Linked DNA regions of Mus musculus: all the other regions are reported to be linked to region 1. Evidence: microRNA targets listed by miRTarBase, many of them from high-throughput screens and not tested one by one. Region 1 holds a microRNA gene; each other region holds the end of a gene's coding sequence.
Evidence for each region. The annotated mature microRNA mmu-miR-677-5p reads UUCAGUGAUGAUUAGCUUCUGA and lies in region 1 at 2,967-2,988, shown strand. An mRNA with a match to its seed (bases 2 to 7 or 8) in the 3' UTR can be bound and repressed. Matches are read on the target gene's strand: a 7mer-m8 pairs with bases 2 to 8, a 7mer-A1 pairs with bases 2 to 7 and ends in A, and an 8mer does both.

Region 2: miRTarBase lists Josd1 as a target of mmu-miR-677-5p. Seed matches in the 3' UTR shown: 7mer-m8 at 3,263-3,269.
Region 3: the mRNA of Nbl1 is a reported target of mmu-miR-677-5p. Seed matches in the 3' UTR shown: 8mer at 866-873.

What each region holds. Positions count from the first base shown.
Region 1 is chr10:128,082,325-128,086,493 of GRCm38, forward strand. It overlaps Mir677 (microRNA 677), which reads left to right and starts at 2,962; the gene lies at 2,962-3,039. Atp5b (ATP synthase, H+ transporting mitochondrial F1 complex, beta subunit) reads left to right here and starts at 983. Exons shown (of 10, transcript NM_016774.3): 1 at 983-1,129; 2 at 1,568-1,750; 3 at 1,973-2,147; 4 at 2,767-2,888; 5 at 3,118-3,302; 6 at 3,714-3,872; 7 at 3,974-4,096. The coding sequence starts at 1,003. Snord59a (a small nucleolar RNA gene) reads left to right here and starts at 1,818; the gene lies at 1,818-1,892.
Region 2 is chr15:79,672,500-79,676,672 of GRCm38, forward strand. Josd1 (Josephin domain containing 1) reads right to left here. Exons shown (of 4, transcript NM_028792.3): 4 at 1,751-3,680. The coding sequence ends at 3,581. Tomm22 (translocase of outer mitochondrial membrane 22) reads left to right here. Exons shown (of 4, transcript NM_172609.3): 4 at 1-363. Among named protein-coding and RNA genes, the nearest start is that of Tomm22, 3.7 kb to the left of the region's middle.
Region 3 is chr4:139,079,444-139,083,616 of GRCm38, reverse strand. Nbl1 (NBL1, DAN family BMP antagonist) reads left to right here. Exons shown (of 4, transcript NM_008675.2): 4 at 15-1,325. The coding sequence ends at 272. Among named protein-coding and RNA genes, the nearest start is that of Htr6, 6.0 kb to the right of the region's middle.

The DNA of each region.
Region 1 (4,169 bases):
GTGACTTTCCATCCTAGAGCAACACACACTTCTGGCCAGCCTCCACTTTCATTCAAAAGTCCTTTGAGACCTGGCATCATCTCCCTATAGGGTCGGATTTCGTTTTTTTTTTTTTTTTTTTTTTTTTTGCCTTATCTACAACCAAACCGAAGAAATGTGGTTTCAGGCAAAGGCTCGCTTAGCGTATTCTTCCTTTCTACTTTACTTTACGGATTTCTGCACACACATATCACAGCAAAGGTCTATTACTTCTGACCTTTCATTTTGTGTTTGAGACAGGGTCTCAAGGGGCTTCAGTTGGCTCCTGGAATCTTGAGCCTTCACCTGTCAAGTTCTGGAATTACAGGGTTCTGTCAGTACGTCTGCTTAGGGCAATTCTTTACATAAGTAGGTGACTCTAAATTACCCCTCGAGTGTTATAAATAAATAACCTTGTCTCCTCGATGCAGAACGTCTGTCGAAGGATGGGTCGCTTTAGTTTCTTTCGTTGCACGGATTTATATGATAAAGAGCCTCCAGGTTTCGGACCTGCTGGGCCGCCTGGAAACTTCCACCCTCACTACTGTCGAGGAAACCCCACGTTTTGGAGCCACAGAAGGTTCCTGACTTTCAGGACGCCGCCACTCAACCTTAGCGGCTGTCACCTAACTCAAGGTCCAAGGACAGTCAAAGACGGCCTAGTGCACAGGTTCAACGGAACCCCGCCCCTTTATTTCAACGTAGTTCCGCCAAAAACCTCTCCTACTGACGTTCCCATGGGCCAATTAGGTTTCGAGGCTTAGAGGGCGGCTCCTCCAATTAAAAAAGAGAATTTTCAGATTGGCACCAGTTTAGACCAATAGCTGATAAGCTCCGAGTTTTTTTACCCTATAGAAGCGTTAGTGGTGATGACGAACAGCAAAATCACCCAATTACTGTGCCTACGGCGGAGGTTGCCCCGCCCCAGCTGCAGGACCGGCGGAGAGGACCGCTTCGGCGCTCAGTCTCCACCCGGATTCCGCCATGTTGAGTCTTGTGGGGCGTGTGGCCTCGGCCTCGGCCTCCGGGGCCTTGCGGGGACTCAGCCCTTCGGCGGCTCTGCCACAGGCGCAGCTTCTACTGCGAGCTGCTCCCGCCGGGGTTCATCCTGGTAAGCGCCTTCCTGGAGGAGCTAGTTCGGTTCTTCTCCCCGTGACCTTGAGCTTGGGCCTATCGGATCCGTTCTCCATAAGGATTCCCGGGCAGCGGACTACTGTCCAGCCGAGGAGTGCAAGGACAGTCGCCCGTGGGAGCGTTGATATAACCAGCAGCGTCCCATTTTGTGAGGCTAGAGTGGCCGGCAGCTGCCTCGACCTTGAGGTTTTGAGGGGGATACCAAACTCGAGAATAATGGCGGTTCTGTGCACGAGGTCGGGAAAACAGTGCGGGTGGGTTCCCGATTGCAGCGTGCCCTTCTCCATGCCTCCTCCTATCTTGCAGGAGACTTAGTCTGGGCTCAGCTAACCTTCCCTCGGGGGATAAATCTGGGATTCGGGTGACCTTAAGCTGTCCTAACACCAACGCCTTCCAATACCTTTTTGTCTGCTAGCCAGAGACTATGCGGCGCAGGCGTCTGCGGCCCCGAAGGCAGGCACTGCCACCGGGCGAATCGTGGCAGTCATCGGCGCTGTGGTGGACGTCCAGTTCGATGAGGGATTACCACCCATCCTAAATGCCCTGGAAGTGCAAGGCAGGGACAGCAGACTGGTTTTGGAGGTGGCCCAGCATTTGGGTAAGTAGGACGTTTTAGAGGTGGGAAAGAGCTTGTTAGGCTTAAATAACACGAGATCGTGCCATCTCCATTCTGTGATGACTTTACCAAATGACTTTCGTTCTTCTGAGTTTGCTGAAGCCACACTCAGGTGCTGAGAGGGGAGGCCTGTTTGCTTTTGATCACCCTTCATTACATACTGTTAGGTTTTGGTGCTTATAACGTGTTAATGCTGATTGACAGGGGAGAGCACGGTCAGAACTATTGCTATGGATGGCACTGAAGGCTTGGTTAGAGGCCAGAAAGTACTGGATTCAGGGGCACCAATCAAAATTCCTGTTGGTCCTGAGACCTTGGGCAGAATCATGAATGTCATTGGAGAACCTATTGATGAGAGAGGTCCTATCAAAACCAAACAGTAAGTTTCTCTCACTGCATTTGTGAACATGGGAACCTTTTCTTGCAGTTGTACACATGGGGTAATAACTGGTAGTAAAGCAACATTTTCCTACAGTACTACTTCCATTTCTGTTGTATTCAGTTATTGAAAATGAAGATACAGAAGTTTGGATTGTTGAAAACTTGCTACATAGAACCCCCTGTTACTTTTTTTAAAGCTGTGTTACATTATGGATTCTCTAAAATTTACAGGTTTTTATTTTCTTATTGTTATATAAAGAAACTTTGTTATATTAAGTTCAGTAAAAGGAAAATATCAAAAAAGAGGATTATTTGTTCTTGAGACTTTTTTTTTTTGGTTTTTCGAGACAGGGTTTCTCTGTATAGCCCTGGCTGTCCTGGAGCTCACTCTGTAGACCAGGCTGGCCTCGAACTCAGAAATCTGCCCGCCTCTGCCTCCCAAGTGCTGGGATCAAAGGCGTGCGCCACCACGCCCGGCGAGACAATATTTTTTATTGCAGAGAGATGATGTTCTGTGACAGCTTAACTTGAACAAGATTAGACTTGACTGTTTGTGGTGGCCAGTGGCTTTTGAGCATGGTGCCTGGTTCTGACCCTTTCCTCCCTGAACCTTACAGATTTGCTCCTATTCATGCTGAGGCTCCTGAGTTCATAGAGATGAGTGTTGAGCAGGAGATTCTGGTGACTGGGATAAAGGTTGTGGATCTGCTGGCCCCATACGCCAAGGGTGGGAAAATCGGTACGTTGGTTTTTGGTCCGTGTTTTCCAAATACAGTAAAGCATGGAGACCCTTTTTTCTTTTGAGAGTGCTTGAGCCTTCAGTGATGATTAGCTTCTGACTTTCGTTCTTCTGAATTTGCTGAAGCCAGATGCCGTTCCTGAGAAGGGGAAAATGGACAGAACTGAACATTTTTGAAGGCTGTTTAATTTGGGAATGCAGAGATCTGAAATATTTCTTCTTAAACTAGGACTCTTTGGAGGTGCTGGCGTTGGAAAGACAGTACTGATCATGGAGCTAATCAACAATGTCGCCAAAGCCCATGGTGGTTACTCTGTATTTGCTGGTGTTGGTGAGAGGACCCGTGAGGGCAATGATTTATACCATGAAATGATTGAATCTGGTGTTATCAATCTAAAAGATGCCACTTCCAAGGTGAGCTCCATTCAGAAAACTAATGTGTTATGTTTGATGTGATGAGCCCCGGGTTCTGTAAACAAAATAGTTGTCTTCCCACCACCATTTTCCAGAATACCAGTGTACACTTCTCTGGTGTGAGATATTTCTAGACTTTTTGATGAGTAAGTAATCCAATTTGAAAGCTGATTTAAAAGGTGTAGAATGGAAGCCACTCACATATCTCAGTCTTACTTTTAGTTTAGAAATTATTTCCAGTGTTCTCAATTTCATGAAGGTTCCAAACAGAAACATTGGCATCCAGTGGAAGATCCCATTAGTGGTGTCTCTCTCTCTCTTCCCCTCTCTTCTCTCTGATTGGGAATCTTGGATTTCTCTGTGGCTTCCTTACTACTCTGCTGTCTTTTCTGACTTGTGTATGTTTTACAGGTAGCGTTGGTATATGGACAGATGAACGAACCACCTGGCGCTCGAGCCCGGGTAGCTCTGACTGGTTTGACCGTTGCTGAATACTTCAGAGACCAGGAGGGCCAAGATGTCCTGCTGTTTATTGACAACATCTTCCGCTTTACCCAGGCTGGCTCAGAGGTAGGGGGGAAGCCTCGAGGCCTGGTTTGTTGAGCCAGTTGGGCATATTAGAAGAAAGATGTAGACACCTAAGACCATTATTCTTTACTTCTGTCTTTTAGGTGTCTGCCTTATTGGGCAGAATCCCTTCTGCTGTAGGCTACCAGCCCACCCTAGCCACCGACATGGGCACAATGCAGGAAAGGATCACCACCACCAAGAAGGGATCGATCACCTCGGTGCAGGTAATGAAAAAAACCAACCTAGGGAGATAATAACACCATATTATACTTGGGGCTAGAGAGATAATTCACAGTT
Region 2 (4,173 bases), not on the chromosome of region 1:
TCACTCCAATGCTGGAGTACAGCCATGTGGAAGGTTAGCCTACTCTCTAATAAACTGCTCCTAAGGAAGTTCTTACATGCCCATTGTGGGAAAGAAGTAAGTACCCCTGACCATAAGGACTTTTTTTTAATGGAAATGTCTAGGACATGTAAGCACCGTGGCACTGACAAAATTCATTATACCTGAGTACAGAAGTCACCAGGAATCCCAGAGAGAAGGGAGGCTGGCTGTAGCTTTAGCCAGAGGGGGACTGGGCAGAGCAGGCACTCATTTCCTCTGCAGAGTTTGGCTCTTAGACCTGCTTATGTATAAAAAAGAAGTCAGCGCTCACTTTTTGTATTTAAATATTAAAAGAACTCGAACTGAAAGTGTTATTGCTGTGTTTGTGGTAGTATTTCACACCTAGGTTGTTTTAGAAAGCCAGGAACACTGCCTGCCAAATTTCCTCTGGCTTCAGCCAGCATCTGTTTCAACCTCATTTCATAGACCAGTCTGACCTCAAAAAGCTTTCTCTTCTTTTCCTTGTGTGTGTGGTATGTTTTTTGTTTGTTTTATTTTTTTTTTTTTTTCAAGACTGTTTCTTTGTGTAGCCTTGGCTATCCTGGAACTTAATTTGTAGACTAGAGCTGGCTGAGAACTCAGACCTGCCTACCTCTGCTTTCCAGGTGCTAGGATTAAGGGCAGGAGTCACCAATTCCTGTTTAGTGAAGTTTCCAAAAAGGAAAGAGAACATTTATTATTGAACATAGTAGTGATTATTGCCTCAAATTCAAGACTCCCTCCACAGAAAGTGCAGGCCAGACTCTGGATATGCAGACTATACTGTATTTATAACCTGTTTTCTGTATGTTTGCCTTATAGTCTTGAGAAAGAGGAGGTTTGCAAATAGAGCTTGTTATCATATTCTTGTTTTTATTGGTGGGTAGAATCTCTCCAGAGCCCAGGTTAGCTTTCAACTTGGTCCTCCTGAGTGCTGAGGGATCATGGGCATGCACACCTGGTAAAGACATATTATTATTTTTGGTTTTTCAAGGCAGGGTTTCTCTGTATAGCCCTGGAACTCTCTGTAGACCAGGCTGGCCTTGAACTCAGAAATCTGCCTGCCTCTCCCTCCCAGGTGCTGGGATTAAAGGCATGCGTTGTCACTGTCCGGCTTATTTATTTTAAGTAACAGCAGAGTCTCTGATAATAGATCCAACTGTAGCTCTTCTTTTTGAGCCCTGCAGTCTTTCTACTCAATACTGGCCTTTTGTTTTTCTCTAGAAATGGGGTCTATGTTGACCATACTGACTTGAAACTCAGAATTGCCTGCCTCTGAGAAACCTCAATCCAATCTCCTACCTGAAAAACCACCTCCTGAGAATTGGGGCAGTGCTGTAGAACCACATCTAGCTTGGCTTTGATTTATTGTGCAGGTTTTCTAAGCTCTTCACGTGATTTAGGAGGTTGTGGTATTCCTATGGGTTAAGGAATCTGCACAAAGCCTGCTGACGTCATATGCTCTCCAGGCCTGTAGCTCCAGTGTACCCAGCCTTTCCTCCACTGTAATCCAGACGGATCCTCCTGACACAGCCTCCCCACTGCAAGCACAGCAGTGTGGTCGGGGCACCTCTGAACTAATCTCACAAAGTGAGTACTTTCTCTTGGTTTTTCAGCTAGGAAATCTGATTACTGTGTCTCAGAGTGGTGACATCCCTTCTATGACAAAATCCTGCCAAAGGTTTTTACATAATCAGACAAGTAGACTTGTGTTCAGCTTTTCATTTTTAATATTTGGTTAAACAAAATACATCTTTGTAAACAAACCCAGCACAAGGCCAACAGAAAAGGGAATAAAGCAAGAAAAACAAAGCCTAGGGCTGCCCCTTGCTGGGCGTCAGGGTCAGGCTGCCCCTTCCTTCACAGGAGTGGGGCTTTGCCCTGGGGCATTAACATGGGTCCCTGTTCCTAAGCACCAGAATTGGATATGAACAGAACCAGCCCTGAAATGCTTAAGCGTCTTTGTACATCCCACTAGCTCATGGACTCCACGTGTGTGTGGCTCGTTTGCAGTGCCATTTGCACAGGCCCAAGCAGATCTGTAGGGAAGAGTCTCCTCTTCCCAAGAAATGGCTTACTATCACCGACAGTGCCAATGGACCCAAGGTCCTGCTTGTGACAATCAGCAAGGTCGGCTGTAACTTCTGGCTGGTAGTGATTGGAATGTCATTGTGCAGGGGCAGAGTTCCCCATGGTGCCAAGCAGATCTGGTGTAGAAAATGGTGCAGATGACCATGGCTGAGCGCAGTGCAGTAGCCACTCGAGGCCTCTGCCACTTGAATAAAAAACGGCCTTGTTGGATTGAAGATACATGTGCAGAAAAAGTGCTGGTGTAAACATGCACTCCAGTCACAGTGGGGAGACAGCCCCCCTTCACCCCAACAAGCTTGCTCAGGATTAACATGCAAGCCCCAGGTAGCTCTGCTGCCAAGGGAGAAGAAGCAGGCCAGTGGGGCAGCTCTCAGACCTGCAGAGACCATGGATCGGTAAGGGCTGGCCAGGTCACCTGCCTTGAAGGCCACCACAAACACATTGGTATGGGGGTATGGTAATTATTTCCCCTCATTTTCCAAAATTACAAGAAAAAAATGATCTAGAACTAGTTGAAGTGGGGCAAGCCAACCCTGTTTGTCAAAGAAACTACACAGACGCCAAACTCAGAGGCTCTAGCTTGATGCATACAGCCAACCTGAGATTGCTGCCACAGCTCTGGAGCTCAGGACGTGCCTACCGGGCTCAAACCCTGAAGCTTACCTTCATGGCAGTTCCTCGCCCAACTCTGTCCCAAACTATGGAATTTTAGGTCAGTGTAGATGTGTTTGATTTTGCTAAAAATGGGCCAACTATGAGTACTCTCCCTGTTCATTGTCTTGTCCCAAAGCCTCCCCAGTCAATGTAGTGAAATGATAGGGACACGATTAGAGTGAAGAGCCACCAGTGACTACCCTACTCTGGCTTTACCCACGTGGTATTAGGCATATCTTTCACCACTGTCTTGCTAGAATGATGTGCAATTCACCTATTTTGGAATAGCAGAGCCTCTTATAAAACCCCAAGGCTGGCTGGGGTTTAAAGGGACCAAGAAGAGGCCTAATGGACTGCAGGTGACATGCAGTGTGACTGCTGGAGTCTTGACAGTTTCTTGGCTCTGCATGTACTGTGTCCTCAGACCCCATGGTGCCACAGGAGAGAAAAGGGGCGGCCTTTCCGTAAGCCTGAAGCATCAGTGACACTACCAGCAGAGCCTGTATCAAGACCTTATGGAAAGGGAGAAATAACCCAGCCCCCTCAAAGGACGCCCTTCTTGGCTCCCTCTCTGAAATAGCAAAGGGTTCAATGGCTTGCCCTAAGTGTTCAGAGCTCCTACCTTCTTCCCCCAGGCACAGACTGCTGGGTGGCTCTGTGACAGTCCACACATCTGTCCTATTGCACTGGCAAATCTGAAGGGAAAACCCAATGAGATGTTTGGGGAAGTGGACTGTAGAGGCCACAGCACATCAAAGAGGTCTGGAGGGTTGAGACAAAGAGGGTCAAACAACTGTCACACGTCGGCCCTCCAGCTCTGATGGGCTTCCACTTCTTCCGGTACAACCAGTAGGAGTTCACAGTTTTTACCTCGCAAATGGTATTTTAGAAATTTCCTGTGGAAAAGGGAATAGGCAAGAAATGAGATGCCAGTGAGTTGCAGATTGCAGTCCCGGGACCACCCACTCACCAGAATCCTCCCCATCAGAGGTCCACCGGTCTCTTCCTCTCAAGTAGATTATGGGTGTCTCCCACCACCACCAAGCTACACCCATGACGATCTTAAAACTCAAAGGGTGACTGGTTACCCTTCCATTCCTGCTAGAATCTGTCTCAGTTCCTGCACATTCTCATATGTTCTTGTCACTAGTGGCTGCCGGCATAAGGACAAGAACACTGCACATTCTAGTGGTTACTAAGCTTCACACAAACAAAGCAGCAGCAAACTTGGGTGTACAGCACTTGCCAAGCAGGCCTCACAATCTGACTGAGATCCTAGGAACCCACAGTGAAGGGGAGGACCAGCCCTGGGAACTGTCCTCTGACCTCCACACATGCCCAGGAGCACACAGGCACCTGAACACATACAGTAATAAAAGGAAAAACTTC
Region 3 (4,173 bases), not on the chromosome of region 1:
CCTGCTCCTCCCAGGTGACCTTGGAGTGCCCTGGCCACGAGGAGGTGCCCAGGGTGGACAAGCTGGTAGAGAAGATTGTACACTGCAGCTGCCAGGCTTGCGGCAAGGAGCCCAGTCACGAGGGCCTGAACGTCTATGTGCAGGGTGAAGACAGCCCGGGCTCCCAGCCTGGACCACACTCCCATGCCCATCCCCACCCTGGGGGCCAGACCCCTGAGCCCGAAGAGCCTCCTGGAGCCCCTCAGGTTGAGGAAGAGGGGGCTGAGGACTGAGGGCCCCCAACTCTTCCTCCCCTCTTGTTCCCTGTGGAATGTCGGTCCCACCCTCCAGGGAAGAGGGAGGGGATAGGCAGAAGCCCCCCTCCCCCTTTGGCACTGGATGGACTTGGAATGCTGCCTGGTTGTCATGGAGATCTGAAGGGAGGGGCTGGAGCCAAGCTGCACAATTTAATATATGCAAGATGGGGGAGGAAGCAGACAGACATCCGCAGGACTTTTCTTTTGGAAGGTGAAGTGTGGTCTTTCCTTTCGGCCTTCTAGAGAGATGAGCCCCCCACCCCCACCCGGGATAGAGAGGAAATGGGCTGAGCTGCTGAGGATGAGTGAGATCCTCAAACAGGGCAGGCCCAGGCCAGGACCCACACAACTGATGGGGGCAGGATCCCCAGTGATGGGTCCAGAGTGGGAATCAAGTCCTTTGCTGAAGGACCTATGTGGGAAGACCGCTTGCAGAGGTCGGAAGCTCCAGTCCCATAGGTTTCCCTAACGACCTCCCTCACTCCCCAGTGCCAGGGAAGTAACCCCTTCAATGGAGTGGCTTAGGAGTCAGGCTGGGGCAGGACCCTGCTGACTCAAGTGCCAGAGTGTCACTGAAGAAGAAAGAAGATCCCTCCCATCTCTCCCTCTGGAGATCTTAGCTCTCTGCTCCCCGTGTTCTGGACCCTTTAGGGAAGTAGCTGCAGCCAGCCCTGCTGTCTTTGGGGCCGGTCTTTCTGAAAGAGGTGATGGTCCATCTCCATCACCTGGGACCATAGTGGACAGGAGGCCCCTGCATAGGGCCCCCACTGACCTCAGCTTTCTCTAGCTCCCTAGTCTAGCCACTCCTCCTTCCCAGCTGCACTTTAACCCTAGGGCAGGGCAGGTGGCAAGGAAGGGCCCTCTGTCCCCTGATATGCTGGTACCATTGTTTGTGTCCAGGGGATGCCAGCTCACCTCCCTGGGGGTGCCCCGGCCCGTGGCTGTTCGACGAGAGCCTTAGAGCTTGTAACTAGTAGCCATCTCCCCTGGACCCGAGTGTTTTCATGAATAAATACCTTCAATGCCTCTATTCTCTTCCTCGTGGACTGGCTCTCTGAATCCAAGCTGGTTGTGGGCCCAGGGATGGAGGCTGGGTTTGGTCTGGGCAGTGCGGGTCACCTCCTCTCTTGGGTTTGTGTCTGCATTTCTGCCTTGCTTACACGTGGCTGGACCTAGCCAACTAGATCTGGACACTTGATCCCTTGGGATCTCTCTCGCCATCTCTTTGCTCTCAGTGACCCAGCATGAGCCTTGGTACTTGTCACCAGCCTGGGCCAAGCCCCAGAAAAAGATGAAACAGATGAACCCCCAAATCAACGATTACAAATGAATATAAGGTTGTACCCATGCGCTAGAAAGTTCGCACAGAATAGATCATCTTACCCAGCCATTTGGATCCTGTCCTTTTTTTTTTTTTTGCTTGGTGCAGAGAACTTAGTCATCTCTCCAGGGCCATCTTGTTAAATGCCACCAAGAATCAACCCCAGACAATCTGGGCCAGCATCCATGCCAAGTTTGGCATGAGCATTCATTCAGCAGCTTGCAGTGGAACTCGCTCCTTTTCTCTTCAGAGTGCTCTCCATTTAGGCTGTGGGTGTCAACTTGACCCGCAGCAGCTCACAGGTCTCCCGATGTCACTTCAACGTGGCAGTCACCGGCATCACCAGCAATGAATTTGCTCCTAGAGGTCCCCAGCGCTGTACCTCTGAAGCCCCGTGCCTCGGGTCTGAGAGCTGTCTTGCCAGCAGCTGTCTTTCTCTAGGGAGCTTCTTAGCTTGTGGAAAGATAATTCACGGAGACAGTGGGGAGACATGCAGTGGAGAGACTACTGACAGGCTGCTGGCACACCCTGAATGGCAGCCGGAGATGGGAACGTAGGCTCTGCGGAGCTAGGTGTCAGAACGACTTAGGGTAAATGGGAAAAGAGAAGCTGGAGACCAAAGGCCTGAAGGCAGCAGGACGGCTGGCCGGTGGCACCGGTACAACGGCCAGCAATTTTCTAGGGGCAGTGCGGTTGGAGAGGCTAGGCCAGCTGAGAGAGATAGGGACCTAAGGAAAATCAACCTCTGGTGGGATGTGGACGTCTTGCCAGGGAGAGGACCCAGATCTCAGGGATGAAAAAAAAATTTTGTGCGTATGCACCTGGGGGTGCACAGCGACATGCACAGGCCAGAAGACAACTGTGAGTGTCATTTCTCAGATGCCATTCACCTTGATTTGGGGACAAAGTCTCTCTCTCTCTCTCTCTCTCTCTCTCTCTCTTTTTTTTTTGGTTGTTGTTGTTTTTTTGAGACAGGGTTTCTCTGTATAGCTCTGGCTGTTCTGGAACTCACTTTGTAGACCAGGCTGGCCTCGAACTCAGAAAACCACCTGCCTCTGCCTCCTGAGTGCTGGGATTAAAGGTGTGCACTGCCACCGCTCGGCCGGGGACAAAGTCTCTTATTGACCTAGATAGAACTTAGCAAGTAGGCCAGGATAGTTGGTCACTGAGTACCAGGACTCCCAGTTTCCACCTCCCCAGACCTGGAACCTGTGCCACCACACCAGGTTTATGTGTGTATGTGCACCCGCATGTAGCCACATGTTTGCCATTGTGTCCATGTAGAGGTCAGAAAACTTTTGGGAGTTGGTTCTCTCCATCATGGGGGCACAAGATATTGAAAGATTATCAGGCTTGGTGGGAAATGCCCTTACCTGCCATCTTACCTTCCCCGTCCCCAACATCAGTGTGTGTGTGTGTGTGTGTGTGTGTGTGTGTGTGTGTGTGTGTGTGTGACCAGGTCTTTAGCCTAGGCAGGTTACGACTGTGACTCTCTTGCCTCTATTTTTGGAGTGCTGATACTACAGCGGTGTGCCACCATGCCCGATTTATCTAGCGCTGGGGATGGAAGCCAAGCCTTCATGCATTGAGGCAAGCACTCTACGAATGGGTTGACCCTATTCTCTGTCTTTGGGAAGATGTCGTTCTAGAGCCTAGTGTTGATTTAAACTTGTGGTCCTCCAGCCTCAGTCTCAAAGGTCCTGGGGTTACAGGTATGTGCCATCAAATTTGCAGAAAATAGAATTTGAGAAATCTCACGAGCTGCATCCACTCGAAGTATTTGTGTACATACATGTATATGTACATGTACATGTACATACATGTATATGTGCATGTATGTAGTATGTATGTATGTGTGTGTGTGTGTGTATGTGTGTATGTGTGTGTGTATGTGTGTATGTATGTATGTATGTATGTATGTATGTATGTATGTATGTATGTATATATATATGTATGGGGTAGTGATTTTAGAGTTTTGCCTCCACCAAGCATGAACTAAGCCAATAAGAGAACACAGCAGCTCCTCACCCCTTTGCACAAGCAGTGAGGGCTTTAGCATCTTTACAGATTAGCAATCGAGACAAGATGGCTGCCTCGCTAGAGCTGGCTTCCCAGTCTTGTTTGGGACCGGCTAGCAAATGGTCCTTCCCCTGCTCCTGGCCTCTGGGCAGATCTGCACCACCTGGGTTCAAATCCTGGCAAGGTCACTTCGTGACTTCGATTCTCGAGAGATCACAGAGTGGGAACTATTGCTCACGGTCAAGTCTGCTCTCAGGGTGACGGTAGGCTTGCTGTGAGCTAGTGCACACGGCCAGCTGGGAGCAGTGACGGGCATTAGGTCATACCTCAGGAAGCATCAGCTGCTGTGATCATGGAGAATGAGTGACAGGCCCACATTTTGAGCAGCTGCATGGATGATTTGTCTGCTTATTCATTCTCTCATTAGACAGCAATGTATTAAGAACCCAGACTTTGGGCCAAAATAGATGGCTCAGCGGTTAAGAGCACTGGCTGCTCTTCTAGAGATCCTCAGTTCAATTCCCAGCAACGACGCGG